4 linked regions of the Struthio camelus genome follow. The protein of the gene in region 3 interacts with the protein of the main gene of each other region in a biochemical or structural test. Links are inferred from orthologs where the notes say so. Each region holds a gene or a part of one and is shown on either strand. Other genes may lie near its edges.

Region 1 (7,511 bases), on a different chromosome or scaffold from region 3:
AAACTTACCTGTTTCGCACATGCTAATACAGTTCTTGCTAACTGATACCCTTGCAAAAACAACAGATGTTCACAAGAGTTGGATGGATGGTCTGTCCTAAAAAGGGTTCTTGCAAGTGCACAGGGAAGCGTACTGGGACAGGGAGAGGTGCAATATTGTACCTTTTGGATAGCATCTCCTACCTCAAGGATTTGGAAAACTTTCCAAGCCAGCACTGTCATGTGGGACTAGACTAACCAAATGCAGTGCACAGTACTAAGGTAGTTCTCCTTCTCTCTTTTTTCTCTCACAATCACCTTGTTCTTCTTTCTCCTAGTCACCTGAAGAAAGAAAGTGACAAACCCCTTTAAATGGACTCCTACTCTCAACGCGACATCATCATGTCTTTCTCTTAAGAGGAGCAGTTGATCAACCAAATCCTGGGGGAGGGGAACCTACACATCCTGATCCTACAGTGCAGTACAGTGCAAGAGCAGAATGGATCAAGAGTACAGGATGGCATCGTGGGAGCAGAAAGGAGAGGAGAGAAAATGGGGAGGGACTGAAACACCACTAATGGACATGGAATGATTGGTACATGATTCCAGCAAGGCTCTGAAGGAAACAAAATTAGCAATGCAGAGAGCTCAAAAAGACAAAGACTGATGGAAATTCAAGATTGGAGCTGCTCCATCCTTTCTTTTGGGGGAACAGTTGCATTAAATAAAAACAGTGCAGAGCATCACAGGAGTTCATGTACATGATGCTGTTGCCCTTTCTGCTTCTGTGAGGAGATGTGGCCAAGAAGTAACTCAAAAACCTGATGGAGCTTCTTTTAAAGATGCCTCCTCACCCCCCCCCCCCCCAACTTTAGATGTAAGATACAGCTAAGTAACACAAAAAAGCAACATGGAACTTTTTCAAATTAGCCAGGGTGGCTTCCCATTCTCCAAAATCCTGTCAGATACAAAGCAAGCATTATGGGACCCCTTCAGAAATGGCCACTCCTACCTAACCGCTCAGTCACTGAGGGTCTGGGTCTAGCTGTGAGGTGCAAAGCACCACGAGACTTTGCGAGACCTGAGACTGTTTGCGAGACCCAGTGGCTGTGCTTTCCTACGCCTCGAGGGAATGGTTAGGGCCATGAGGTGCAAAGCACCGGGAGACTGTTTTAAAGACTGCAATTAAAGACTGCAATCGCCTCTATCCCTTTGAGCCCCATTGGGAGAGCTGACATGGCCAAGAGCCCCTGCATCGCCCCATTGGGAGAGCTGACATGGCCAAGAGCCCCTGCATCCTGGTACTCTCTTCGCGAAGGTGGCTGCCCCTTTCCCCTCACCCATTCTAATTGATGTACTTTTAACTCATGCACATCCTATTAGACGTGGCAGTTTTATGTAGCAATTTGTGACTCCCTTATCCCGCGTGCGTGTCTGATTTCACAGTTGTATATCTCGATTGGTCCCCATATATATATTTACTTAAACATTAAAAAAAGGAAAAAAAAAAGAAAAAACAACCAACAACCCAACTATGGAAAAACACCCGAACAAAGTTTCCCACGCACTCCCAAGCCTCAACACACATTCTAATAATTTATATATATAAATATATATATGAAGCTCTTAAAAAAGAAAAACAAAACAAAAAAAAAAACCCTTCCAGAAACAGTCTGTTGTGTTCGTTTCTTTTCTACTGGGGCTAGGAAGCGATCTGGAAGTGCAGTGAAACAGCACACCTGCAGGGGAGTTCAGAAATGAAGTTCTCCCTGGGCAGAGGAGTAAAGATGGGGGATACCGAAACAGGCCGAGGAGTGGCTGCGATGCAAGTCGCTGCAGGGCCCGGAGGGTGGCGAGAGCCGGGGGCACGGCCGGGACGAGAGAGGCCAAGTGTCGCTACAGGAAATGCCAAAGCAGGGCCCGTGCGGGCGCCGCACGAGGGAAGCCCTCCTCGGCGGCGGAGCTGGGGGATCGGCCCGGCCCGGCCCGGCCCGGCCCGGCTCGGCCAACCAGCGCAGAGCGGCCCCGGCCCGGCCGCAGCGCAACACCCCCGGCCCGGCGGTGGTCACGGAGGCCCCGCCCCACCGCCGAGGGGCGGGGCGAGCGCGCCTCGGCACCAATAGGAAACAGCTTATTTACATACTACCCCAAATACGTCCCAAACCTCTCTTTTTGGCTATTATAGTCATCGGCAGCGTGGGTCAGGGAGACAGACCTGTTCGGAAGGGCGCAGAGGCGCTAAAGACGGAGGCTGAGCGAAAGATGTGGCTCGCCCTCACCCCAAAGACAGTGCAGCTCGCGTGGGCCCCCGCGCGGGGGCAGGCGCTGTAGTGATTTCAGCTCTTTTAGTATTTGTCCAGTAGGTTTTCCGCGGCGCGGGAAGCCTCGCTGTCTCGTGTAAGGGCAGAGCGGCTGCCGCGCGTGCGCGGGGAGCGCCCGCCTGGTGGCTGCGGGGGTGGGTTGGCTCCGTAGCGTGGCCGTGCGGGGGGGCGCGCAGCCGTGAGTGCGCGGCCCGCGGCGCCCCATGGCGGCGTCGGCGCAGGCCCCGGCCGCGGCGCTGAGCGCCGAGCAGGCCAAAGGTGAGTGGCGGGGGGCGGCGTGGCCGGGAGCGGGGCCCGCCGGGCGGGCGGGAGGCGGCGGCGGCGGCGGCGGGCTGGCAGCGGTGCGTGTGCCCGCAGTGGTGCTGGCGGAGGTGATCAAGGCCTTCGGCTCGCCGGAGAACGCGCAGCGCATGGACGAGGCGCGGGACAACGCCTGCAACGATATGGGCAAGATGCTGCAGTTCCTGCTGCCCGTGGCCACCCAGATCCAGCAGGACGTGATCAAAGCCTACGGCTTCAGCAACGACGGGGAAGGTGGGTGCCCGCCGGCGGGGCGGGGCGGGGCGGCGCGGCTCTCGTGTCCGCGCCGCGGCTCCCCCGACCGCCGCGGCGGGGCGCCGCTGCCGCAGCCCGCGGCTCAGCCGCTCTCCCCGCCTGCCCGTTTCCTTTGCAGGCGTGCTGAAGTTTGCCCGGCTGATCAAATCCTACGAATCTCAGGACCCGGAGATAGCCAGCATGTCGGGGAAGCTCAAAGCCATGTTCCTGCCGCCCATGACGCTGCCCCCGCACGGGGCTGGCCCCGGGGGAGTGGCGACCTCGTGAGAGCGGAGGCCCTGTGCCGTCCCGGCCCTCGGCGCTGGCAGGGCACGGCTGGACAGCGGAGACGCTGCTCTGGGAGGAACCAGGCTGCTTTGTGCGCCTTTGTATGTCTGCTGGTGAATAAAAGCTATCTGGAAAACAAACCTCGTGATTTCTGAACGGACCTGGGCCTAGCACTGCTCTGCCGGGGCGGGTCCTTTTCTCTGCTGCAGAGGCGGTTAGAGCAGTGTCCACCTCATGACTGGTAAAGCCTGTGCTAATGATTTGAGAGGGGGAGGGCTCGTATGTATCAAACTCGGAAAAAAGATGCTTGCTCATGCAAGCCTTGGCCTGAAACCACACCACCTAGTATTAAAGCAATACTTTTTTTTTTTTAAACAAGATTTCAGAGGTGCTAAGCCTTATCTAAGAACAAGCGTTTACAAATGAGATATTTGACATGTTTTAGGTAGTGGGTTCATAAACATAAGCTAGTCCCTAAGGTGTTCTTCAGCAAGTGGCCTAAATGCAGCTCAGACCCCTGTCACCAGGCCAGTCAGCCATGCTAGTTTGTTCCTCCCTGTACACTGCTAACACCAGCTTATATAGCTGCACAGTTGTCTTCTAGCTGAATGTGTGATCAGACATATTAGACCTAATGTAAAAGGCTGCAGAAAGGTGAAGCAGGGACGAGCATGGCGAAGGAGAGCTAGCCTTGCCCCTTTTGGCTGCAGCCAGGGTTAGAGCAACATAAACATAATCTAGAACTGCATCATGTGCCTGCCAAGACCAGAGAGAGAAACCAACCCAGGGGAGCAGTTCCTCTCAAGTTTGAATCTTTGTATTTGTGACTTGATTCAAGTGAAGGGGCATCAGGTACATTTGACTGTTGGTGGCCTTGCAGCTTGTATGGGTCTCTTGCCCTTAGATGTGTTGACACATTTGGGAAGGGTCAGGGTGGGTTGGGGTGGAAGGGCTGGGAGAAGAGGGAGCTGAGGGTCAGGTGCTGGAGAGCTGTGTGTAGTTTTGTTTTCTGCGTCTTTCAGCTACAAAGGGCTGAGGAATGTAGCCAGCAAGGGCGTGAACTTAGTGGATAGGAGGCAGGAAGAACAGTCAGTCCCTTCCGTCTCCATCCACCTCTCCCAGCTTGGGCTTGGCCTCCCCCCCCCCCCCCTTCTAATTATTTATTAACTACAGCCCAGGAAGTGTTTTGTGAATGGTGAAAATCAAACCCTTTGCTTGAGGCCTGCTGTTTGCCTGACCTGGAGCTACCTTCTCCTCTGTCCACACCAGAAACAGGCCGAGTTCAGAACTCTTCCCGTGCGGATCAGATACAGGTGAGTCATAGGGCTTGCAGCAGACCCAAAGCACTATCGGCTGCTCCTTCCGGAGCTGTGGAACGAACCATGGTGAGCATCCAGCCATGTCTCTAGGGTGGTCTAGGTCTTGACTTGCTCTGTCAAGTTGTTTGATCTCTCTCCCAAGTCCATTTCAGATACTACTGTGTTGATACTTCCAATACTTTTTTTTTTTTTTTTTTAGTAGGACCCCCTGGTTAAGGGCTGTGGTACTCCCTCCACCTGCTGCTTGCTGTTAGTCCCCTATCTGTGGGGATCTGCCGGTCAAGATCCCAATGCCATCCTGTGGGTGAGTGTTGTGTATGCTAGCTAGGGGTAGAAAACAGTGTTGTTGGTGAGAAAAAAATAATGGAAGTAAGAATCAGGTGTAGAGGGGAAAAAGAACACCTTATACTAGGAACTACTGGAGAGCTGGAGGACTAGGTTCACAGTGAGTTAGACTGCTGTCGCTGCTGCTCCTCCTCACTTGTATAAAGAGAGAGAAGAGTTTGTGATGACCAGTCCAATACAACTACTTTTCTGCCTTCTGCAGGCCCTGCAGCTGCAGCATTTCAAAACATTTTTGTACAGAGAGAGATCAGGTGGCAGACCTTTTTAAAGCCTGATTATTTATTGATTTGTTACTGTCTTTAGAGTCTAATTGACAAGACACATGCTCTTCACCGTCAATCCAAATGGGTGCTCTGTTGTTGGGACGTCAGCAACATGGTATAAAGAAATGGGATTAGCACCAGGGTTAATCTATGGTTAGGTTCTGCTTGGGCAGCCACTGTGGTCCAGCACTGTCCTGTGGTCCTGTAGCCTGCCAGAGAGCATCTGGCTTGGGCAAGTCCCAGGAAGATGGTCCATCTGCCCATTCCCCCAGAGCAGATGGCCTTTATCTGGCAGCTCTAACAGTGCAAGAATGCTGCAGCTGAACTACTATGTAGCTCTGTGTAAAACTGCAACTTCCTGCCTATGCTTTACCTTGGTGCTGAGAGTTACCGGGTGGCAAATGCAGTGCTGATTTTTAAAAAGGGTTCAAATGAGAACCACAGACCAATAAAATTGATATCTAGAATGAGCAAGAGATTAGACACTATAATAGAAAAAGGAATGAATATGACATTAAAGAAAGAGTCCCTATCTACTTTGGTAAAGGCAAATCTCGTCTTGAAAAAACACTGGAGTTCTCTGAGGGACTTAGCAAGCTTGTGGATAAGGGAGATCTGGCTGATACAGTTTGCTTGGATTTGACAAGTTTCCCCTCATCAAAGACTTTTAAAGAGAACTAAAGACTTTTTAAAGAGAACTAAAGCCATGGCATAAGAGAGAGGAAGATTTTTTTCTTGAGTAAAGAATTAGTAGAAAATAAGAAATGGAAGATGGGCATAAATATCCAGTTTTCACAGCAAAGGGTAGTCACCAGTGGTCAGATCACTAGGGTCTGAGCTGGGATATGTGCTGTTCAGTATATTCCTAAATGACCTGGAAAAAGAGGGTAAACAGTGAGATGAGAAAATTGGCTGATGGCAGAAAGATATTTAGGATAATAGAGTGGGAGTCAACTGTGAAAAACTGCAGAACGAACTTATGATAGAGAATGGGTGGGTAATAGAACAGCAGATGAAATTCAAAATGGGTATATGTAAAGCAATGTTCATGGAGGAAAATAATTCAAACTTCACCTATAAAAAAAGAACTCTGAAATGATCATAACCTCTCTGGAGTAAGACTGTGATCTCATAATACATAAGTGCATGCAAATGTTAGCTCAATGCTCAGGTGCAGTGAACAAATAAGCAGAAATCATAGTTATGTCTTTGTATATGTCCATGTCTCACCAACATCTTGAATGCTATGTGCAGTTCTGGGGTCCCACTTCATCCTCATCTCCAAAATGATATAGCAGAGTTGGAAAAGGCTCAGAGAAGGACAGTAAAGATGATTAGAGATGTAGAATAGCTCTGTACACAGAACATCTAAATAGGGTTGGAGTCTTCAGCCTGGAAAAGAGCTAAGGAAGGAATCAGAAGTTACAGGTCTCTAAATTCATGAGTGGCTTGGAGGGAGTGAGTAGGAACCAGAGGAATCAGTCATTGATTTTTTCTTTCATTACAACAGTCGGTTGTTAATAAAAATGGGCAGGGAACAGGTCATAAGCAAACCAAAGGAGGTGGTGGTTCTGTAGTTCAGCAGTGGAACTGCTTGTCAAAGGATGCTAAATATCTTGTGGATTCAAAGATTGACTCTACAAGTTAGTGAGGGCATTGTCCAAGTGAGCCCTGAACATCTCCAAGACTGGAGATTGCCCAGCCTCTCTGGGCACCTGTGCCGTTGCTGAACCACTCTTGGGCAGGAGTGTGTGTGTGGAATTGTTCCTATATCTATTCAGAATTTCTCTTGATGCAAGTTATGCCTGTTGCCTCTTGTCCTTTTGCTGTGTCCCTCTGAGAAGGATCTGGCTCCATCATTGCTAACCTCTCCTTCCCTGCCCCTTTAGGTAGTGTCAGACTATTAAATCCCTCCTCAATCCCTCCTCAGCCTTCTCCAGGCTGAACAAAACCAGCTCCCTCTGCCTATCTTCATGTGTCTCATCACTGGACTTTCTGCAGTTTGTCAATGTCCTTTTTCTTTTTTTTCTCCCCAGTAGTCCATATGTGAGCATCTTTTAATTGGCTCCTTCATTTATCCTCCTTTCTAAATTGATTCCTGTGCCCGTTGTGGCCTAGCTCCACAAAGGATTTAGAAGATAAGGTTCTACAGTTTGTGTTGTACTGAAGGCCAGACTACACCATAAGAATAATCTCTTTGATGCTGAAATCTCTTGACCTGTTAATTACATGAAGAAAGTATTTCAGTGGCTCAATTAGTTTGTTGTTGTATGCGCCAACTTTTACAGAGAACAGCTTCAAAGATACCAAGCAATTGCTTCTCTAAATTTAACCCACTGTGATATTTGCCCAGCTTATCAGTTGGAACTCTTCACCGGTAGTTTTTTATTATCTGTCTTGGTGTCTTTGATCTGGATCACCTGTGCACACCTAGTTCTTTTCTGACGTGGAAGCAATTACAAG
Region 2 (7,611 bases), on a different chromosome or scaffold from region 3:
ACGAATAGCAGAAAGAAGCTTTTACATAAGTCAGGAAAGAGCCATCTATTTTTTAGCAGCTGCAACCATATTTTTACTGGCTTTGACAGAGTTTTAACAGTCTCAGTGCAACTTCCTATTTTGGCGTTGTCTTTAATGCCAAAAAACTTTCTTAGCAGCACAGCCTATCTATTGTACACTAATTATCCTGCCATAAAGTCCTAATGGAAATAGTTATGTCATTTTACGGCAAAGTAAACCAGCAAAGACACCAATGGACAGAAGCAGTTTTAGGCTTACAGTAAAAATCTGTCATTCCTTGCCTCCATCCGGATTTTAGGATAGGATGGTAGTCAGATGTACAAAATCCACTTTCTTTCCAATGAAAGCAATGACTACATACTAGCCTAGTCTACCTGCTTATCTTCATAGCTTCTGCTGGGTAAAATAATCTCACACACAGCCGCACAACTCTAGCCTCCTTCACTGGCATTTTTAACAGATTTCAGATACTCTAAAGCTACCTGGCTCTATTCTTATGCTGCATGACTTGCTTCTTATTTTTCCTGCATCTAGATTTTTTATTGGATTTTTTTAGAAAAGTATCATAATGAGGTACTGAACTTTTCATGCTGCCATTTCAGGAAATAATTGTATTAACAATTTTTTTTTTTTAATTTGGAGACGTCTCTTTAGATCCAGAATATTGCATTTACCCCCAATCAGGCTGCCAACCAAACTGGCTAGTTAGTGAGTTTACCATATAATAATGTCATTATCTCTAAAATAATGCTAATATATTACAGAAAATCAACCAGTTACAAGGAAACTGCTTTTCTCAAATTAATTTTTAGAACTAGATTACGTGAATGAAAAAAAATACCATTGAATCCTATGTTCTTATGATGCCTGTTGAAATAAAAGTGGCTCTTCAGAGTGTAGATGTCCCCATGGATCTAAGTCTCGACTGAGTCATTTACTTACTTGCTAATTGGTAATACTGAATAACCACAAAACTCTTCCCTGTCATTTGTATAAAGCATAAAGGCTTTACGGTGCTTAAAAGAAACCAACAGTCACTTTGGTAATTCTTAGGTATAAGAAAGTTCAATTAGAAATTCAAAATGAGTACTTTGATCCAATATTAAAGTACTAATATTCAGTTGTGGTTGTGCTCTGACATTAAAATATATGACTTCTCAATCACAGAATAACACGTAGTGCAACTTGTGGAACCAAAGACAGAGAAGATTTCTTAAAGAGTTAGTTATCTCAACGTATTTCCTCAAACCATGTAATTTCTGTAAATCTTTCATGTTCTTAAAGGTTTTTTTCTTTAGAAAAGTGATTCCTCTGCAATCAAAAACTTCTGTAGACAAAACCTAAGGATGTTTGAGGGCACTTGGCTCTATATACTTCAATTTTAATTCTTATCTTTTATTTCTATCTAGTCTGAAATAGGTTAGTAAAGCTTGTATCTATTACTCTGTGTCTTTAAGAAGTGCTGGGGGGAGGAGTTAACTGAATTAATTCAGTATAGATGGAGGCCTCCTGTCAACCAAGGCCTTTGTGTGCTCAGCTTGTTTATCAGTGTAACAGAGTTGCGAATGGGAATAGCGCAGGTACATTTCCAATACGTAGAAACTGTTTTTTGCCCTCACAGTGTAGACGTTTTCATTGGAGAGCTTTTTCATCTTTTCCAAACACTTGTAGAGGGTCTTTTAGCTCTCTGCAATGGCTGCTGCTGAAGCCAGATCTGATTCTACATATTCCTACATTCTGGCTGTTCCAGCCAGAAACCAAGCCATTGACACACTACGCAAGCTTATCTTTCCTGCAGCTGGAGCTTTATACAGCACAGCAGATAATCCATTAAACTCTAGAATAAATAGCATTTTTGCAGCCATTTCTCAACAGTAGAAGATGGTGAGACTCCTACATTCATGACAAACTGGAAATACTTCATTCATGCTTCAGTTGTTGCTATTTCCATATACGCAGAATAGTACTCCTGGTGAAGGACGGTTCTGCTCAGTGGGTGGAATCAAATCCTGTGAGGACGAGCAGCAGTATTTTTGTGGCTTCCCTGTGAAGAAATAGGTCTTCACAGAGTTATGTGAGGAGCCTGTGTTTACCCTCAAGCACTTCAAAATGCAAACAAGGTAGACCATAAAAGACTGAATGTGGTTCGCAGTTATGCTTTGGAAACCTACCACTCAACACGCTAACGGTCCATGACTAACCAGTTCTCTTACTGGGTAAGTCAAGAGTCAGCACTACGTTGGAAAAAGCCAAAGCTAATAAAAACATGTTTTCTAATGGGTTACGAACAAGTAATTAATGTGTTTAAAGTCTTAAACTCTGAATTTCAGAGAAAAGACTTCCCAAACTGCATTGAGGTCGATGACAACAGTAATACGCTTGCAAATTGCCAGACAAAAGGAAGACATGGAAAGGGCACTATTCCACTATAGCTGGACTTGGTTAAACACAAGGACAGGTTCAAGAACTCAAATCAAGGACAGACAAAAAAGGTACATGACACTAGAACGGTAAGGAGACCTAGTGAGGCTTAAGAGTTGTATTCTCTCTGCATGACATGGTTATTGGTAAAGTGACTTGACACAAGGCATCCACTTACACTTTCCTGACATGACTAATGAAGCCTACAGAACTTATCTTGAAACAGTCATATTCTCTGAGTCCTTCCACAGTAAAGAAAGAAGATAAATTTATTAGAGAAAAGAAGCTGATTGCACAGGGCAATCTGATGAGTGTTTCCCATGGCTCTGTCTCTCACAAAGACGGCTTTAATCTAAAACTTGTTGAATCTACTGGACATGCTCAAAAATTGCTTTAAAAGACTCACTTCTCCCCTTTCCCTTTCTTTCCTCCCACTGATGATCTAATATGGTGGACTGTGCTCAAAATGCAGTCAGACCAGTAGTATTTTTCATAAGGTAGGTAACTACTCTAACAGACTGCTTTTTCACACCTTCCGCTGCTTCTCCTTAGGAGACTAAACTGGTCATCTGTTCTGAGGAGGAAGTGTGCCATAACATTTTAATTTCCTGACGCTATTTGCTAAATGCGTATAGTGGGGAAACAGTATGGGTTGATCATCACTAGGTGATATACAAAATATCCTTTCAGTGAGTGTAGAGTGTAGTCATTGATTTTTTTTTTGTTATAGACTTCCTCCCTTTCACTGCCTGTCTACCGTATCTGCTTAAATTACAACCTTTTTAAGGCAGAGACTATTATTATATATATAGTCTGGTGAAGCTCAGAAGGTAACACAAGAACTCCAAGGCAATTCAGCATGGTAATAATTGAGAAATGCAAAAACTGTAACAAATTCATCAGCTGTCTCATGCTCTAAAAGCAAATTATTATCCCATTTTTCTAGACTGGATACAGAAGGACAAAGCAATTAGATGATCTGTCCTAAATCCAGATATACAGTGGAGTTGGGATGGGTTCAACAATTCTTAAAATCCATTTCAGTGCTTGAACAGCTCATCTTCACTCGGGCCAGAACCCTAATCTCGCGAAAACTTAGCAAGTCTTTGCAAATAGCAAGTCTTGCTTAAAACTTGGCAACTTTTGTGATGAAATATCTTATTGTCTCTTGTAGGAAATGACCATTGATTTCAGCAGACTATTCTTTCTTCATCCAGTGCTAATGCGATCTTCAATCATCACTAAAGATCGCTGTCTTGGGAAATGCTAGTTCCAAAAACCACACTTCTTCGCATTTAATGAACACTCGAGACTCTGCCTGCGTCAACCTGACAGCTGTCCTCCCAGACAATGACCTGAACTCTGTCCCGACGGCGGGGGCAGAAGGGCCAGCAGGACACCGCACCCTCAGAAGCAATAGCGCCGTTTTCCAAGCCCAATGCTACTGGATTATTTCAACAGTACATGGATTTTAATGGCACAGTAAAACACCTGCAGGAGCACCTTTACGTAAGCATTAGGAGGCACTGCTCCACAACTTTTCTGCAGCTGGAGCAGGTAAAAAAGAGTTTTTAGGCTTTCATTAAGACACTTACTACAGTGCCTAGTTCCATTAGCTTGTTACGGAAAGGCTAAATTTCAGTTTCCTGACACGGAAATTACAAATCAGACGTTTCCCACCGCGCGCTTCAGGCCACTGCTACAGCTAGGTGCCACTCATAAAATACCGGCCATTTGTTCGAGTCTGGCACCCAAACTGACTTCAAGCAACAGGACAGGCGAGGCGCCTCCTCAAGGTACCACCACCCACCACACGAAAGCCCAGCAGTGCGGCGCCGCCCCGGGAGCGCCAACGGCAGCGGCGAACACCCGGGCTGCCCGCTGCCCCCGGCCCGGCCCGGCCGGCGGCCTGTGAGGCGACGACGGTTGGAGTCGGGGGCCCCGCGCGCGCAGGGCGGGAAGGCGCCGCCGCCCGGCCGTCAGGGGGCGCCGCGGGGCGGCCGCGACGGGCGGGCACCGCGCCGGCCCGGCACCACGGCGCGGCCGCTGACGTGCCGCGCCGCGCAGTGTGCGCCGCGCCGGCCCGGCCGCGGCCCCGCCGGGCGCGCTTCCCGTGGGAGCGGGCGGGCTTGGCTCCCTCCCGTGCTTAGCTTTCCCTGAAGTTACTCGGGTTCCCCCCTCCCTGCGGGACCTGCCCCGGCTCCCGACTTCCAAGCGCTCGAGGAGGAGACGGAGGGAGGGCGGGAGGGAGGGGAAAGGCGTGTCTTGCCGGGGCTGTCGCTGCTGCAGCCGTTGCCGCCGCCGCCGCCGCCGGAGGCAGATCGGGCATATAAAAGACCTGGCCGGGCGCCGGCGGCGGCTCCAGTCAGTGCCTGCGCTCACGCCGTGGGCAGAGGGGCGGCGGCAGGCAGCGGGGCGCGCCGTGGGCAACCCCAATGCGTGGACTATCGGCTGCTGCATTATGCTGGAGCTACAGTTCCGCTGAAGGCAGTTTGCACCCGGCTGGCTGGGCTGGACTGCAGCGCTGCCGTTCCTTATGAAGAAGGCACAAGTGAGTAGGGGCACCGCCGGGGGGCGGCCACCTGCGCGGGCGGCGGAGGGGGGTCCCGCGGCGGGGTGCGGAGCGCCGAAGCGGCCCCGTGTGCCGGGGCGGCGGCGAGGTGCGCGGCCGGCTGCCCGCCCTGGGCAGGCAGGGCGGCAGCGGGGCCTCGGGGGCTGCGAGGGCAGCGCCTCTGCGGGTGGGCGCTGCAGCCGCTGCTCAGACGGAGCTCAACGACTTGGAATAAAAAAAAAGAAAAAAGAAAAATCCGTCAAGTCTCGTCTTTGGCACGCACCGCCCGGGGAAAAGTTCCGGCAAGCGGGGCGGATCGTCGACGGCTTGGCTTTAGCGGAGCTCCGAGGGCAACTTGGGAAAAATTGCCGTCGTAAATGGGGTGCCTGGGTCGGATCGGATCGGGTGCGGAGCGTGGAGTAACGGGCGGCGGCGGCGGCGGCGCGGCGCGGCGCGGAGCGGTGCGGTGCGGTGCGGTGCGCGCTGCTCTCGCCCTCGGCCGCGCCGCTGTGGGCTCTCTGCCCTCACCGCGGTCCCCGGAGATGGCAGTTGCTCTCCTGCGCATTTTTTTTTTTTTTTTTAAAGGAAGGTTGGGGACGGACACAAGTGCAGAAAGGACTGGAAAAGCCATCCCATAATAAGAAAACGCGTACGGGAACTCTAAAGAGGAAAAGTTTTTAAGGCTTGGCTTTGCAGGGTGCCGGTGCCCTCTGTCCTGGTTGACCTTAGCGCTGAGCTGCAGGGGCAAGAGCAGCACACCGGGCGCTCGCTCGCGCTGCTGGTCCTGCTCAGGAGGCTTTTGCCTTCGCCTCCCCTTCCCGTTCAGAAGCAAAATAGTTTTTGGCCTTCCCTCATCTGTTGGTGATTGCTAGGTCTTCCCCGACTCGTAACTGCAGCATACAGAAAAGACATAAAATACATTTTTAAAAAGGGAAATACCTTACTGAAATCTATTGGACAATTAAATAGCCTTTGGAGAGAAGAGAGGAATTAGAAATACTTACTTTCTCAGGTTTTTAAAATGCAAGTGGCTAGAGCACTGGAGAGCGTACCCATGCTTAAGGAGTTATAATTTGCTTGACTTTAATTTTTGCGATGCTGAAATACAGTGAGGTTTAATCTTAAATGAGCAGTTCTGAATTCTAACAGCATAAATTCATTGCTGTTATTCCTAAGACATGATAAAGATGCCTTGCACCTCAAAACTGTTGTTTTGGACCTTATATGCAGACTTGATCACGCATGCTGAATAGATTATTAATTGGGAAGAGTCACTTAAACACTGAGAGCCATATTTGTATACTTACTTAAAGTTTATACGTTTACTTAAAATTGGACTCGGTAAAAGTACTGTGTTATCTTAGCCCATAGCAGCACGCATGTCAGGCTGTTTCCTGAGAAGAAAAAACAGTTCAGCAGGCAAATGAGGGTTTACAAGTGCAAGTGATCAAGCATTTCATTTCGTGTGAACTGTAAACTTTTAAAGCCCACAGAGAACTTTGCCAAATTCGGAGCAAAGCAGGAATAATCCCTCTCTCCCAGTAAACTGGGAAAGAGGCAGTCCTGGCATTCAGTACCATATGGCTTGACTCAGGGGATCACAAACTGTAGCCTGTGGAACAGCTTCTTGTCATAGCGGTGAAGCATCTGTCAGCCTTCAAGCAGTTATGCTTCCTGCTTTTGGGAGACAGTGACAGACTCCTAGCTTTCCAAAGCATGTTTCCTTCATTTTAAGGATTAGCAAACAAATGTGATACTAAACCATTAATCATTCCAAGGAGATCAGAGCAGAAGATATGTCAAGGAAGGCTTTCCACTAAAACCATGAATACCTTTGTGCGAAGAGAGAGTAAGTGATAGGGATACAAGAAAGGGAACATAAGTGCATTGTGGCACTGGGTGCATTAAGGTGAATTTTAATATTTGTGTTCCCCTGTAGCAGCTTTTCACATTGTCTAGACTGATAGCTGGCACAGAGAAAAGAATAGGATAGGAATGCTAGGAAAGAAACTAACATTTCTTAATAAGAATCCTGCATGAGACGTAGTATAAGAAGTGAGAACCACTACCTCGATAAGCCTTGAAAGTACTTAATAATGCCTTGATAGTACTTAAACAATCAGGGGTTTTGATGTTAAGGTAATGTTACACAAGGATAATATATAACTAGTGCAGCTGAAGGAGTAACTAAGTCATACTTCATTGCAGCTAAAGTGCTGAAGGAGAAGAAGGAGTCATGCTGAATAGTAGACTAGAGTGAGAAGGTTGGTCAGTTTATTTACATCAGTCTTAACCTGAGAAACTGGAGGAACTGCAGAAACATGTTCCCCAACTGTGTCAGTCCTAAAAGGATTATTTATGAAGCTGTACAGTTTGATAAATATATAAACCCCTATTTTAAATACGCCAGCATCTTGTTATTTAAGCAGTAATGACTTTAAAATTATGATTAAACATTTAGGGTCCGGTCTTACACATCCTTCTTCAATGGGACTATTTCCATGAATTAATCTTGTTGAAGGATTACTTGCATGAGAGGATTTGCAGGCTTATATACTTAGTAATTAAAACTATTACTGGAAGTGACTGTACATTCTTTTGCATGCTAATATTACAAC
Region 3 (7,298 bases):
CAGAACAGTACTTTGCACTTCACAAAGACAAATCTCTTTTCTTAGCAAGATTGTAGGGTATAAACTAACAAAAATGCTATCAGGAAGATTAGAGCCTTTATTTTCCACTTAAGCTTACACCGATAAGACAGTTTTTACAATAGTGTGCTATGCATGTGATAACACGAGATATCTTTAAAAATAGTGTAATATTTCAAGCTTCAATGGCAATTATATCTTGGCTCTTGACATTTGATGCTAGAAAACTCTTTAATTAACTAGGCTAGCAATAGTGATGTAAGATCACAGGCACAATGGGATTCAGTGAGTATTTTACAAAATTGGATTAGAAGGAAATAAGAGATACTTTCCACTTTAGTAAGACTGAATGGTCCATCTGAAAGTTCATATTCTAGAGGGGAACAACATAAAGGTGTCCACTTTATCTGCATTAATTTTAGAGTCATTCCTGTTAAAAGTAATGGAAAACTCTTCAGTTAAGCTGCATGGAAGACTTTAAAATCCTCCCATTTACAGATGAAACCTTAAGATACAAGTCTATCAAATACCCTCAATTGTCTCCACCCAATCCCCCTTCTACTCTAGCAGGAGGATGCAGGAGACTGCAAAGTTAATAAAAATAAAGGCAAAGGGATGTCCTGAAACCTAAAGCCTTGCAGGAAACAGTCCCAGATGGTTCCAGTTGGTACACCTTGGCATACCAAGTCTAGACCAGCAGATTTCCCTTTTTTTGTGTTAGTAAACAAGAGGCTTAGAAAACTCATAGTCACGGTTTTGTCGATTAAAATTAAGATACAGCACAGTGATGAGTATGTGTTCTTGCATGGTAGTCATATGACATTCCTGATGGCTGCGCTTCAGAACTGCTGTTTTCGATGAATGCATCAAGCAGAAATTTAACTACTTTTCACTTTTACAAACTGTAACAAACTTTTATGGCAATGATGAGATAGCAACTACAACACTTGTAAATCAATATATGTTTCAAAGACTCATAGTTTCTCAAAGCCTTCAAGTATTAGAGGTGAGTTAATTCCAGAGTCATCCGGATTGCAGGGGCTTCCCTTTTCTATGGAATAGGAATGTCCTAGAGTAATATCTCTTAGTCTACAATTTAGAAAAAGAGAGTGCAGTCTTATAGAAGAATTCATCGTCACACAGTTTATCAGGAGGAATTCTAGCAGGCATTGACTGGCTGTATCAGAAGAGTATTTTCCTCTCTTCTCATTAGATATACCTTGCCAGAGATAAAATAGATTCCACAGATTATTTATACTGAAAAGATTTAGTATAGAAAGGTGTTCACAGACCTAACGAATACAGCGTTTGATGCTCTCAAACTAGCTGAGATAATTTCCAGACGCATTTGCATTCAGATACAGAAATTATGCAAGTCCTTCATTAGTTCAGCAGTTGTTCAATGACATGAGCATAATCTTACCAATATTATCGATTTATACAATGTTTACTCCAGTAGGCAGTTCCATGGATGTGGACAAGACCGCTGATGACAGTAAATATAGTCTTTTGAATTGGCTGTTTAAAGGCGCCAGTCCATATTTATGGTTAAATCACCTGAAGGATTTCAAACTGAAGTGAGTTTTCCAAATAGAAGGTTTCATATATTTCTCCAAGCTTATCATTTTTATCTTCAAAACCATTGTTTCTGGAGTCTGCGGAGCTTCACCCCCCCCCCCCCCCAGATGTCAAACTGCTGCAAGTTGGTACAAGCAGACAATCAGAAGAAATGGCATTATCTATCCTAACATATTGCCATGGTACCACAGTAACTGAACACAGGAACATGTGAGGGGCTACCTTGTCTGGCTGCAAATGCAAAATAGACCTGTTTTGGCTTAAGGTCATATGGTCATATCTTCTGGAAGAGAGTAAAAAGACCCAAGGGAGTCCTCTTCACTGATTAAGGGGAAACGCTTGTTTCCCTTTATACTGCAAACAGAATATGGACGAGACAACTCTGCCTTACATGCAGTTTTCAATGCAAGATGTTGGACAAAGCAGAACTACATTTGTCATTATGATTATTAAAAATAAATGAAGTGGCAAGGCTACACCTAATTCACCTGTGCCTCCCACTTACTGCAGCTATTTATAGCCATGCAAAGTGCATGTTGCCAAAGCACATTGTTGCCATTCTGATTTTGAGATGTTTAACATTCAGCTAAGGTTGGGCAAAAAAAGGCGCAAGATGCAGGGCAATGCAGTTGGGCTGCATGTGATCAGGGATGTGCAGAGCATAAAGCCAGGCCACTAACTGAAATAACACTAATCAAAAAGAACAGGGAGAAACCTGTCATAACAGCAACATCACATGTTCCTTGATAATGTTGCAGTGGAAACCTCCTGCAGCATATTGTGCACTCCTTTGCATCTTTAAGAACGCAAACTGTAAATGCTCTAAGCCCTTGTAAAAAAATTGCCAAGCCCCTTTTTTTCTCCTGAAAAAAAGAAGCACAGAGACACCTGGAAAATCTAGGTGGCACTAAAATTTTAAGTATTTTAGCTGGTTTTTTTTCTCTACCCAGAATTAATTTGGTGAGGCTCACACCTAGTGAGAAATATGATTTGAAAATGATGTTTGATTTTGAAATTGTCAGTGTGCTAACAAAAATGCATTCTGCTTTGCAGGCAAAGGAAGGATTCACCCATCAAAAGAGACTAGCTGTGGGAGATGAAAGAGAGTAAAGAAATGGAGAGCCATTTTAAACATATAAGACAAGACTTTCATCTAACACTGGACCATATGGGACAGTGCTATTAACCTCGGAAAAAAACTGACAGTACTGAAAAAGCAAAGAAAGAAGATGAAGAAAAAAAATGAATAATTTGCCTTCAATAACTTTTCTGATCTGTACTGATGTGCTTCAAAAAGTCTACATTTATTCTGGTTGCTTTTCCACTGGTAAGAGTTTGGCCATGAGTCCTCTACATCCTTATGAACATTGAAAAAGCGTTGTTTGGGGTTTTCTGACAGTTTATGCGTCCTTTCCCCATCTGCCTGTTAAAAGACTGTGTTGTCCTTGGCTCTCTGGTCAGAGCACAGCAGGGGAATGCATGTACGACTGCTCTGCCTCCAACATCCAGTATCACATGTTACATCCAACTTTCTTTCCCTTCAGCTGTGTGTGACACAAAGGAGAGTTGAAGACAGACATTTCTGCACTCAGAATTATTTCTGCAGTTTGTATTATTTCTGCCCGACGGGCAGCTTCCCTCTCGCTCTGCCGATACAGAAGCCAGTGCTCCCAGATCCTCCTGCTGAACCGTTTGCCTCATCGGGGCTTACAAATCTCCCCATACGGGATACCACAACCTGCCCTCCACGATGCATTTGCAGAATAAATTCTCCTTGCTCTTTGCAAGTGCTTTCCTAACATTTAAGTTTTTTTTTTCCTGAGAACTAAATGGATTACTTTTTATCTTGCCCTTGGGGGACATGAAAAACAATTGCTCGCAACCCTCTTTGTGGGAACCTTTTCCATGTTTTAAGATCCCTGTCAGCCTTCTCTTTTCCGTACCAAACTAGCCCGTTCTTTCACTCTTTCCTTGTGTGTCACAGGGCATACTCGAGCCCTTCCCTTGCTGCTAAAGCGCGACTGCCCAAAGCGGCCGCGGTGGGAAAGCTGGGCTGCGCGGGCCGCAGCGCTACCTCCGCGGCTCGCCGAGGCTGCTGCGACACCTCCCGCAGCCAGAAACGAGCCCGCGGCTTGGGCTGTACCTGTCCTTGCGGGGCTGTTGCCTCCGCGCCGAGCCCCGCCGGCCCTGCCAACCCCGGCGTTGGCCCCAGCTGCGCTCCCCGCGCAGCGCCCACCCCGGGCACCGCCGCGGCCCGCAGGCGATTTCTAGCGGCGGCACTGAGCGCGTATTTGCTCACTGGGTTTTTTTCCAGTTTTCCCTTGTTTGGGGGGGGAGGGGGCGGGGGGGGAGGGAAGGAAGGAGAGGTGCGTGGGATGGTTTGTTTTTTCAGACCGAGGCGAAGGCACCCCCCCCCCCCACCTCCCGCGGAAGGAGGCGGGAGAGTTTCTCACCTGCGCCAGCCCCGGCGGGGCGGGGCGGGGCGCGGGGGGCCGCGCAGCGCGGCGCGGCGCGGCGCGGCGCGGCGGGGCGCGGGGCGGGCGGCGGAGGCGGGGCCGGCTGTACTCGGCAGCCCTGCCGCGGGGGCTCGGGCATCTCTGCGCGCCGGGCGGTGCGAGCGGGAGCGGGAGCGGGAGCGGGAGCAGGCGCCGGGCCGGGCTCGGGGCGGGGGGGGGGCCGGCATGGAGAGCGCGTACCTCGCCTGGGAGCTGGCGCACGCCGTGCTGCTGCTGAGCCTCTTGCCCGCAGGTGGGAGCCGCGGGCGGGCGCGGAGCGCCGCGGGGCGGCGGGGCCGGGACACGCGTGGCGGTGGCGCGGAGAAACTTTGGCGGCCAGCGCGGGCGTCCCGGCCGGGCGGAGCGGCGCGGAGCCGTGCGGTGCGGTGCCCTCCGCGCGGGGCCAGCCTCGCCGCCGGCGCGGGGGCTGCGCGGAGCGGCCGCGGGCGGCCCCTGCCAAGCGCGGCAGCGAGCGCACCCCGGGGCCGGGCACCCGGCGCGGCCCCGCTCCGCCTGCGCGGGACGCTCCGCCGGGAAAAAAAAAAACTCCTTTGTTTGCAAGCGGCGGTTATCTGGGGCAGGGAGAGGGGCCGGGAGGGCGCCCCCGCCCCGCCGCTGCCCGGGCTGGGCTGTTTTGCCAACAAACTCTCGGAATCGGTACAAAACGTGCCCGCGGTGAGGTGCGCGCTAAACAATAGGCAGGGGAGGCGCCGGCAGCGGGGGCCCAGCGCCCCCGAGGGCAGCGGGGCGCCGCCGGCTCGGTGCCCTCGGCCGGACCCGAGCGGGGCCGTGGGGTGCGCGCTGGTCGGTGCGCGGCCGCCCGCCGCTTGCTTCGTGCCAGGGAGGTGCCAGTGGCCCCACCTGCGTGGGGCTGGTGCTCGCGCGCGGGGCTGGCGGTTTCCCACGCGGCATCCGGCTGCGGTGTTGGATAACTTCGAGCAAGGCTTTTGGAGCCGCCGTGTCTCGAGTTGCGCTGTTTGGTGGGTTAAGAAACGGGGTAGTTTTTTTTTTTTGGGGGGGGGGGGTGTCTGCGGGTGCCACAGGGAGATGGCTGTTAGTGTTTGTGGAATTGCACACAGTTTGGACCAGTGCACCAAAATTTGAAAGTGGACAACTTGAAAGGTTATCTTCCTACTCTTCTGCAGGAGAAAGCTAAGCATTAAGGGAAGCAGTGCACTTGCTAGGTGTTGTGAGTGCTGCCACCAACAGAGAGGAGACTTGGAGAGTGCTCTGTGTGTGAGGAGACAGGGGAGGGCTGTGGAAGTCTTCTGGGCCATAGTTTTCCCGTGCTGGAAGCAAATAAAACTTTAAAAAAAACCGAACAGTAGTGACAATTTATGATTCTTTATTGTAAGCACTTTATTTTGGCATGTGAGAAAGGGCAGTATTTGATTTATTAACACTTTTAAATTTTTTTTTTTGGTAACATTTGTGTTTTGTTCCCTTTTGTTTATTGATTAGTTCCAGTAGAGCGCCGTACCCGACAATTTGGACTTTGCTGTTCAGAATATCCACATGTAGGGATATATCCGCACATAACCAGAATATCCACAGACTATCCAAATGCTAGTGCAGTAGTCACAGAGATACAGAACTCTCCTAACAATGTGTTATTCCCTGGAATTTCTTAAAAAGTATATAGAAGTGATTAATATCCCAACAAACGTCTCCACTTCATACTTGTTTTGCCCTGCGCTTGAAGCTTATCCTTCATCTGCCAATTGGACTGTCCTTAAGAAAAGCTTGGGAAACACGTCAGACTGTCCGCATCTCGTGGAGGCCACCAGGTGCATGCTCTAGACTACTGTGGGGCGAGGAGGTAAGGGGAGGTGGGAACCCTTCGATCCTTCATCTGATTCTAGGTTCAGACACTTGTGGGAGGTATTTCCCTTCAGTGGCACATTAGGCAAACTTGTGTTGACAGAAATTCATAGTGTAGTCATAGGCACCCATGACTTGCCGTTGCAAAAGGCAAGGGTCTGTAGGTCCCTCCGTATGTCGTCTGTGTATCACATAGGTGTAGGGCAATTCAGGGCTAGCTTTGTGCTGGAAGGGGTGTCAGAAGGTGGCTCATGTCCTGGCAGGGGCGCTGGGCACACTGAAAGCGACAGGCCTGACAGAGCCTGCTTTGCTGTGCTGGGTTTTTCTGGAGCTGGCTTGACCCCATGTTGCTTTTGGGATTGCCGCAGTGCAGACCCGTGGACTGGATGATCTCCTGCAGGCCCCGTTCAGACCTGCCGTGTTTGTTGTTTATTCATATACAAGCTTATATTAAGTATCTTTTTTTGGCCTTTAAGTCAAGAGCTTTTTCCTTTGGTTGCAACCAAGGAAGGAGGGAGAATGTAGAAAGCAGAGCTGAATGTAACTTGTTGGAGAGGAACCCATTCTTCTTCTCTGTCCCCACCCCCTTCCCCCTTCCCCTTGTCTCTGAACACATGCTTGCACTTTTCCATCCATTTGAGGGTTGCCTAGTCCTCCTTTGATGGAATATTCTGGAATAAGCTTTTTCTCTGTGCTTTTTCCCTATCCTCCCGCGAGGCTCACCCCCCCCCCCCGCCCCTAGTACTCTTTCAGGGTTTTCGCCCTGCAGCCGAGGAAGGCTGGACCTGGTGGCTCCTTTCACTGCCCCTCCTGACCGTTTCCCAGCGAGCTGCAGGGTAATGGGAGGCTCTCCCTCTTCCCCGGGGGGAAGCATGTCTGTGTTCATTTTGCTTCCCGGTACCTGCCAGCCTGGAGGGAGGAAGACTGAAGGCGGAAGATAGAACTGGATAACGATTCTGACTGCTGTCACTGAGTCGCTGTCTTGGCCCCTCAGATATCCCGCCCTCCCTCCTCCCCCGTTTGTTGTGTTGGGCCTCCTTGTTCTGCCTGTCCCTGTTGTCTCCTGCGTCTTTTCCTCCCTCCCCTGCAGCCCTGCGGATTGTCCTGTGCATAAATGTGGCCCAAGGCCACTGCCAGGAGCAGAATGGAAATGTGAAGGATTGTTCAATAGTTGACTCTTTTCCTTCCGTTACAACTGGGAAGCTTTTCGGAGCGAGTGTGTAAGTGATTTTTCTTCAAGCTTTATAATGATGTGATAAATTTGGCAAAGAGTGAGATGCACATTTGCATCCAGCTTAAGTACTGTTCATAGAGACTGGAAGCATTTCCATGTGCTCTTTTTCCAGCAGAGTGCCTCTCACTGACAGATTAGCCCAGCTGCATTAC
Region 4 (7,513 bases), on a different chromosome or scaffold from region 3:
CTCTGGCTGTTTCGCTGGTTTAAATTTCTCTCCATCACTTCAAAGCAGATGCTTTCTTTCCTTTTCTAAAGGAAGATGAGGATTTCTCATGCATTCACATGACTCACATGCTTCAGGCTTTATAAAATATGCCATCTGATGAGACCCACGTTCCACGTAGGCGAAGCTGAGTCGTGCCCACCTTGCTCCTTCCTACCCAAGCACTGGAAAGTGTGAATCTGTCTCAGGAGCTCAGTGCTTCTCTGTTTTCAAGACCTCAAAACGGCCAGAGAAGTGTCAGCTTCCAAAGAACGGGAACGTGTGAGGAGGGGGGAAGTGATTTTATTTGTGCACTGATCTTGGTGCTCAGCTAACACAAGAGCCTGGCCATGTGTGGCAGGGACCCAGCACTATCTGCACCTCTCTCTGGAAAATCCAGTTGGAAAATCTACTGTTGCTTGGAAACTTCCAACAAGGACGATGTTTCCCCTGCTCTCTTGGCCTTTCTCCCTTCAGTTCGGTTTCCCTTCCCCTCCAGGGCACTGTCAGCGTGGTGTACCCATCCCTGACGGCGAGGTCAGGCCTCCCTGCACCGGCTGACGAGGGCTCTCACTTCCAGGAGCCAGGCTTCCCTTCTCCCGCAGTGACGCCTCTGGCATCTGACTGAGCAGGGGTGGGAGGCAGCACCCCAGACGGCTGGGAGAGGTGCGGGGCTCAGTCAGCTCCTTGGAGCAGAGATGACAGTCTTTGCTCTATTCCTCTTTTGGAGGGTGAGTCACGGTCACTCCTCTGCATCACAAGTGGTAAAACCCAGCCTGTCTAGGTGACTGCGACGATGTGAAGACTTACCATGCCAGCTTCCATCTACCCTCAGCCAGAATCCAGAACAAAGTGAAGATCCACAAAAAGGGACAGCTGCAGCTGTTTCAAGGCTAATATTAGTGGCTAGCAGTTTTTTTCTATTCCAGAAGCCATCTTCACCTAGTACAGACATCCTTTTGTCCTGTAGCCCATCTGTGCCACATATATTATCTTGGTGGACTAAAGCTTCTGGGCAGAGACGCAAAGCCAGCAGCCCTCTGAATATTCCCCCACAGACACAGCCAAAGTCCTACCTGCTGGGATGCAGGTGAGCTGTGTAACACATCCAGTGTGGGTGAGGATCATCTGGGTACAGGGCTCACAGGATAGGAATCACTCCATCCCCCATGCTGCAGGGCAACCCAGGTCTCCACAGGAACACACAGGACCGATGGACTGGCTGCCCCCACGGTACTGAGAAAGGATATGCCACCTCAGCTAGGAGGGACAATAGCTGCCCTGGTGGTTTTCCTTCATCTTCTGCTCCTCCAGGACAGTCATTTCTGGTGCAAAGCAACAGCTCTTTGCTCAGTCCTGCCTCCATGTGTGCGGACTGCGGGTGGCCCAGGTGCTCTGGGCTAGGCACCCAAGGGCATGTCTTCCTCTCTTCCCAGCTGACACATCTGGTGAGCCTGGTTTGGTAAAGCCACTGCAAGGGCTAAGAGAGGTACACTGCCAGATATACACCGCCAGATACCTGTCCCTGGGCAAACTTGGAGACCCTTTGGCACATCAGCCCAGACACCAGCTAGCATATAGGTGAATCATATTCTTTCTGGTGCCACTCACATACCTTGTTGTAAAGCAACTGTTATTCTTGGAGATGTTTGGTCCATGTGGTTCCCATCACTAGAACGTATGTTCCCTCAAGTAGGATGTATGGGCAGAAAGCCTAGGAGGAGACATTTGCCCACCCACATCCCCCTTTCCGGAAGCTATTCCACAATTTTTTAAACCAGCTAACCTGTATATTTGCAGTGAAGTGCAGAAATACTATGCATTTCAGTTCTGAACCTCCCCGACCCTGACTGAAGAGTTTAGGCTTGTTTCCAGTGCACAGAGTGACTCCAGCTGAAGAGCTACCATGACCCAACCGCAGTGGTGGAAGAGGGCACACACACATTAGCAGACTGCAACTTCTGCACTGAAACTTGAGACGGATATATTGCACACGCACCTTTGAAATACAAGCTGGAGAAGTTCTCCTGTTTTACAGATACGCCATCGCACTAAAGGGTCACTTAGACAAATGCCGAGTATAGTTCATTTGTTGAAGAACAGGTGACACCTGGCTGTTTACTCCACTGACCACTACACTAACACTACATTCATCTCTCTCCACCAGCAGAGCAGACATGACAACATCACCTGCTCTCAACAACTCTAATAGACCTTTGCACTTACCTCCCAGAAATGTCCATGCAAGGCCTTGGGGGCAACGATGTCTCAGGGCTGCTCACGGCTAAGCCGGGACTCAAATCCCTGAATTCCTGGAGAATAAATCCCTTTTCATACGGAGCAGCAAAGCTTTATTTTCAAGGACACGCTCCCAGAAAGAGCCACTGCGTTATTTCCTGATTTCTCTTCTGGTTAGCGCTGTAGACGCAGAGCGTCCTGGAGGTCCTAGTGCCTGCCGCCTATATAGTCAAACATTAATCAGAGATGACTCATTATTTGACAACGCTTACCCCAAAATGACTTTTACCCTTCAATAGCACAAGTACACACCCTCACTAGAAGAGGCATTGGAGATTGCCAGATCTCACATCCTACTGCATTGTGTAGCACTCACAGAAAATTAATGATCAACTACGCAAATAGAGTGAGATTCGCTGATACAGCCTTGATTACCATGATCAGAGCATCTTCCTGAGCAGCAGGTGACCGTGAGTAGCAGCTGCTCTCTAGGGGGAATGAGAGACTCAGAAAAGGACACAGCAGGACCACGGTTCCTGATGTCTAACCCTGTTTCAACATCAACTTGCCTGAGACTTAAGGGAGGTTGATCCAGGAGCATGTATGCGCCTTGTCCACTCTATATGGGATGAAAACCACTCACAGACACATCACAGGCTGAAATGGGCAATTGTAAAGCCCAGAGAGATCCTTAAATGCACAATGCTGTCAAATGGCAGGGGCTTATCTATATCCTCCAGCATCTACAATTAGAGCAGAGGGAACAGTTGCCTCTGCAACTCACCACACTAGCCAAAAACCTGGAGACCAGTTTTACCCTAACCTTCAACATTTCCAATTTTCTGAATAAAATGGGTTTAAAAAAAAAAAAAAGCAATCTCAGGCAAACACAGTTAATTTGATCTTTTTAATTTTTTCTCTAATAAAATGGTGTTTAATCCTTTAAAAATACTGGCAATTCAAAAGAAAAAGTAGTTTTGAAATAAATACGTATTTGTTTAAAGAATGAACCCAGAGCATTTCAATTCCTCCCATCTCCCAGTAGGATTCCTCAAAATTGTCTTCTTCCCTTCTTTAATACACAGCTCTACTCAAAGTTTTATACAGCTCTCCTTTGCCTACTCAGTTCTCTTCAGTCCCCAAGTTGACAATACAGTTGGATTCATCAGAAATGCAACAACTTCTCCGCCTGAGAAATCTGTCCCACATTTCAAGCATTCAAAAGGAAATCAGAAAATGGTGACACTTGTCACAAAAGCAGGCAAATCTTCCTACCTTGCCTCCATGGCAACTTAGGGGTTTCATTTTACCTCTCCTTTTAGCGTCTAAAGCCAAGGATCCATGTTGCCTTTGGCTTTCTCTACAGCCAAAGGAAAAACAGGCACCTCCAGAATGCGACGCAGCTGACCTGGTTTCAGATGCCAACCTTGAGTAAGTCAAGCTATCCTAGCAGCACCGCTTTCTTTCTGTTGTTCATAAAGGCAGCACAGGAAGGCTTTCTCAGCCTTTGACATCCAACTTCAGACATTTAAAAAGAACATCACTAAGTTTAAATGTCCCTTTTTAGAGCTAACATTTTTATATTTAGAGCCAGACTTCTCACCAGTGATACCACCAATTCAACAGCGATGTTGGGAGGACCATTTAAGTGGACATTTCCCCCTAGGCAAGGACTGAACCTTTAAACACTGCTTTATCTTATCCTGCTTACAACAGGTGACTACAGAAAATAGATACATCACTAGGTCCAAGTGCTGTTATGCATCTCTATGCTACTTGCATGGCAATCCCGCAGGCAAGTGGGCTGCAGGAGCCAGACTGACTGTTCCAAGAAGAATTCCCCTCCTTCCCCCAGTCAGGAGCAGTGTAGACAGCAGAGATATTTTCACTAAACCCTTAGAGAGCAGATGGCATTTGCACAAATCTACACCCCAGTGAGAAAGTAGATTTTGTGGGAAAGCCCTTGTCCCTGTGCTCAAGGGACAAGTGGAAGATGTGCTGTTACAGCTGACAACCTCAGTTCATTACACTAGGTCTCGGCAGCGGTTTTATCTAGCAGCACCAGGCCCTCACTGCAGTGTCCGTGTTTGTGTCATGACTGAGGGGGGGATGCGCAGCACTCAAAGGGATGTTTCATATCTGGGTTCTTCGTTGTTACAGGCATCCACATCAGCTATCCTGTCACGTCAGTTAAACTTATTTTTAGCACTGGTGACTTTTCCTTCAATTCTGGGGGTACTTGTAGCACTGTTTAATGTTTTTACTTCCTAATTTCTAATGAGAGAAGCTCTTTGGAGTGGATGCACTGTTGTATCCTCTTTTCTGCTCTGACCAAGGTAAAAGGCTAGAAACCGTACATGGTATTTCAACACTCCCCAATCTTGCTGAATTACCAGCAACAGATGAAGTTAATCATAAGGCAAAAGGTAGATCAGAATCAAGGCTTCCGCCCACGTGACGTTATTGAACCTCTACTGCATAAACGTACAGAAGGATGTCAGCAGCTCCAGCAGAGCCAGTTAACTGAGTAACATTCAGTTCAGAACAAATGGCACAGTACTAGTTAAATACATTGTACCTGTTTAAACAATTACAGAAACACTTAACTGCATCCCTCCTCAAATATGTGTTTTTGTTCCATTTATAATTCTTAAGCCAGAATGTTTAAAGGGAAACTGCTTTACCCTCCCCTCCCCAAACAATTTGCACTTTCAAGGAAGAAGCATTTGATGACAAACTAACAATACAGAAACAAATTTTTCAATAAGTCCTAAAAAGCAGTGGTTCAAAAAACTCCAAACAGCCTGAAAGAATATGAATAGAGATTTAAAAAGTGAAGCTTAAATGTAGAACATAAGTATGAAGTGTGTGACAATCTGTTAGCTAACCAGCAACATCACATAGGACAGAAGTGTGCAATTTCATTTCTTTTTCTCCATAGCATTACAACAAGATAGCATTACAAAACATTAAAGCCACATTACAGGCTCTCCTTCACACATTTGGTTGGTCAATTGCAAACAAATAACAACAACCAAAAAAACCCCAATCAGTTATATGTCTGTACAATTCAGCATCCACATCACTGCTCCTAGGTGGGAGCCCACAAAGTGCAAGATCCCTCTCCAAAAGCGGAAAAGGCCCTATGCCAATTTCAACTGCTTCAGATCAGGCTAGAAAGTGCCTGATCAGGGCTGGAAATCTAAAATAATACAGAAAATATCTAAAAAACAAACCGCAAGCTTGTGCTTTGCTTTGTACACCACATAGGCAAACATCAGAGTTTAATAGTATCTGCCTCTGTCTACCTATTTTGCTGCAGGAAGTGTTTCTTCTAGAGTAAGAGAGTGGGAGGGGAAGGAGACATAACAGAAAGGAAGGAACTGTTGCTATAGGCAACTTCACTCTTAAGGAATGGTGCAATTTCTGTAGTGATTATAGTACAATTTAAAATTATCTACAGTACATTATATAAAGGAAAAAGTTAATAAAATTGTCAGACTAAAACAAACTTGCATAAAAATTGGAATAACGTGAACGTTATCTTACAAATGCAATAGCATTGTTAGGCAGCATCTTCCTCTTTTTTGTCCTTCCCATCTCCCTTGTCCTCTGCCATTTCAGCTGTCTCTTCTTTTTTTATTGCACGCATTAAATGTACTTTTAGGAGGTGGCAAGGGGTCCATTCCAAGTACGCTGCATATTTTTCTGAAAGCCAGCATTTCTAAAACATGTTAGGAGAAGGAGGAGATAAAATGGCAAGAACCTTAATAGAATGAAGACAGCAGTTAGAAGGAAATGCACAGATGTCCTCAGTTCTTCTTGCACATACTATGGAAGCTGGAAAGTAAAGTTATTTAGAAGATCACCTTCATCATATACACCAATACACAGTAACTAGGATTATACTGCAGAAAGGGATTCAACCTCACCTAGAGCTAAGGTAACCAGCTACTTTGAAAACCAGAATCAAGGATTTTGTATCCAAGCTGAAGTTTACTGAAGTCCTTCTAGGGAAGATGTGACGAGCTTTGGACCTTGTGTATGACAGCCAGAAACCTCTGTGGGGTATAAGGTTTTGTAGGGGGGAGAGTTTTTATTTCTTCAAAGCAAGAAAACGAGTGCAATTAATAAGCTGCAGTCTTCTAGAAAATATGATGACCTAGCCTGAAAAAATTCCCCTCTTGCTATAATTAAAAAAAGTGAGTTTAACTTTCCCCATCCCCTGCATCTATGCACGTACATCTTGCAGAAGTATTCTGCTGCTGAATTATTGGACTATCACAACATTTCCTACTTCATTCCTAACAAGCAACAGGGTTAATAAATAGGACAGAGAGATGCAAGTTCAGAGTGACTGTACTTGTAAAATTGTTCCACATGATGCTAATGTAAATTTCTAAAACAAACTTCTTCATTTGGCCACAAAAGTTTCAGGCAAAGCTAACTACACAGCGGTCGCTTGTAACTCAGTCTAATTCTCCATTCTCTTTCCTCATATTTAAGATGAGTAGCTACAGAATTTTAATGTTTGCTTATTCAACATTGGTCAAGAAAGTCAGTGCTATCATTGCAAAGAAATAATACGGTCAGGCACATTTTAAGCATTAATGAAAAAGAAAAATGCAGACCACATCTCCCTCACAGTAGTTTAAAAGTGTTAGTTGCTGTGGGGATCTCCAGTATACCACTCACAGCAACATTTACTGAAGTGTCCCTTCTTAATAGATATTAACTGCTATTTTTTTTCTACTTGTATACTGACTGTGACATCTTCTCATTCCTTATGGGTCACAGTCTCCAAAACATCCAACTTAGCTTTCCAGTGGGGATCTTCCAGCCCAGGTCTATCTGACAATGACAGAAATAAGGAATAAAACACATTACAAAATAAATATACTTCAGTCAGCTTTTTAAACAGTGAAATTCAGGGGAAACAATTTAAAAATTCAATTTAAAAACTATTTTAGTACTTCTGGAATTTTGCTTTACTTCAAGTAAGAAAGTGTGAGAAACTGATCAAGCTTTAGATTCTCAGGAATGAGCATAAAGTTATGGAATTTGGGACTTCCCTTAAATTTTTTTCCTAAAATACCGTTTGCAAGTGTTCAAAAAAGCAATAATATGAGCTTTGTAAAAGCTAAGTGTGGGTACCAGAAATACATCTCTGACAAATTTAAGCACTAGTCTTTCCTTGCAAATCAGAAGGTAGAGATAGGTCTCTCCTTACTGGAAAAAAGTATTGCTATCAATATTA

Evidence for each region.
Region 1: the proteins of KIT (region 3) and PTPN6 form a complex in vitro, tested with the Homo sapiens proteins (2 studies listed by BioGRID). The link is inferred for Struthio camelus from reciprocal best matches to the Homo sapiens genes KIT and PTPN6.
Region 2: the proteins of KIT (region 3) and KITLG form a complex in vitro, tested with the Homo sapiens proteins (3 studies listed by BioGRID and IntAct, with this or other methods). The link is inferred for Struthio camelus from reciprocal best matches to the Homo sapiens genes KIT and KITLG.
Region 4: the proteins of KIT (region 3) and MATK form a complex in vitro, tested with the Homo sapiens proteins (2 studies listed by BioGRID). The link is inferred for Struthio camelus from reciprocal best matches to the Homo sapiens genes KIT and MATK.

The regions. Positions count from the first base shown.
Region 1 is NC_090942.1:90,534,468-90,541,978, reverse strand, and holds the start of PTPN6 (tyrosine-protein phosphatase non-receptor type 6), read left to right. Parts: upstream 1-4,294; 5' UTR 4,295-4,434; intron 4,435-4,639; exon of another isoform or gene 4,640-4,642; 5' UTR 4,643-4,730; coding exon 4,731-4,744; intron 4,745-7,511. Other genes in the region: ATN1 (atrophin-1), read left to right, coding at 317-350; C1H12orf57 (protein C10), read left to right, coding at 2,503-2,557, 2,639-2,833, 2,973-3,121. UniProt on the Homo sapiens protein: Tyrosine phosphatase enzyme that plays important roles in controlling immune signaling pathways and fundamental physiological processes such as hematopoiesis.
Region 2 is NC_090942.1:49,333,635-49,341,245, reverse strand, and holds the start of KITLG (kit ligand), read left to right. Parts: upstream 1-4,500; 5' UTR 4,501-4,978; coding exon 4,979-4,993; intron 4,994-7,611. UniProt on the Homo sapiens protein: Ligand for the receptor-type protein-tyrosine kinase KIT. Plays an essential role in the regulation of cell survival and proliferation, hematopoiesis, stem cell maintenance, gametogenesis, mast cell development, migration and function, and in melanogenesis.
Region 3 is NC_090945.1:56,830,909-56,838,206, reverse strand, and holds the start of KIT (mast/stem cell growth factor receptor Kit), read left to right. Parts: upstream 1-4,191; 5' UTR 4,192-4,277; coding exon 4,278-4,344; intron 4,345-6,993; exon of another isoform or gene 6,994-7,132; intron 7,133-7,298. UniProt on the Homo sapiens protein: Tyrosine-protein kinase that acts as a cell-surface receptor for the cytokine KITLG/SCF and plays an essential role in the regulation of cell survival and proliferation, hematopoiesis, stem cell maintenance, gametogenesis, mast cell development, migration and function, and in melanogenesis.
Region 4 is NC_090967.1:487,076-494,588, forward strand, and holds the start of MATK (megakaryocyte-associated tyrosine-protein kinase), read right to left. Parts: upstream 3,037-7,513; 5' UTR 2,569-3,036; exon of another isoform or gene 2,478-2,568; 5' UTR 2,245-2,477; intron 1-2,244.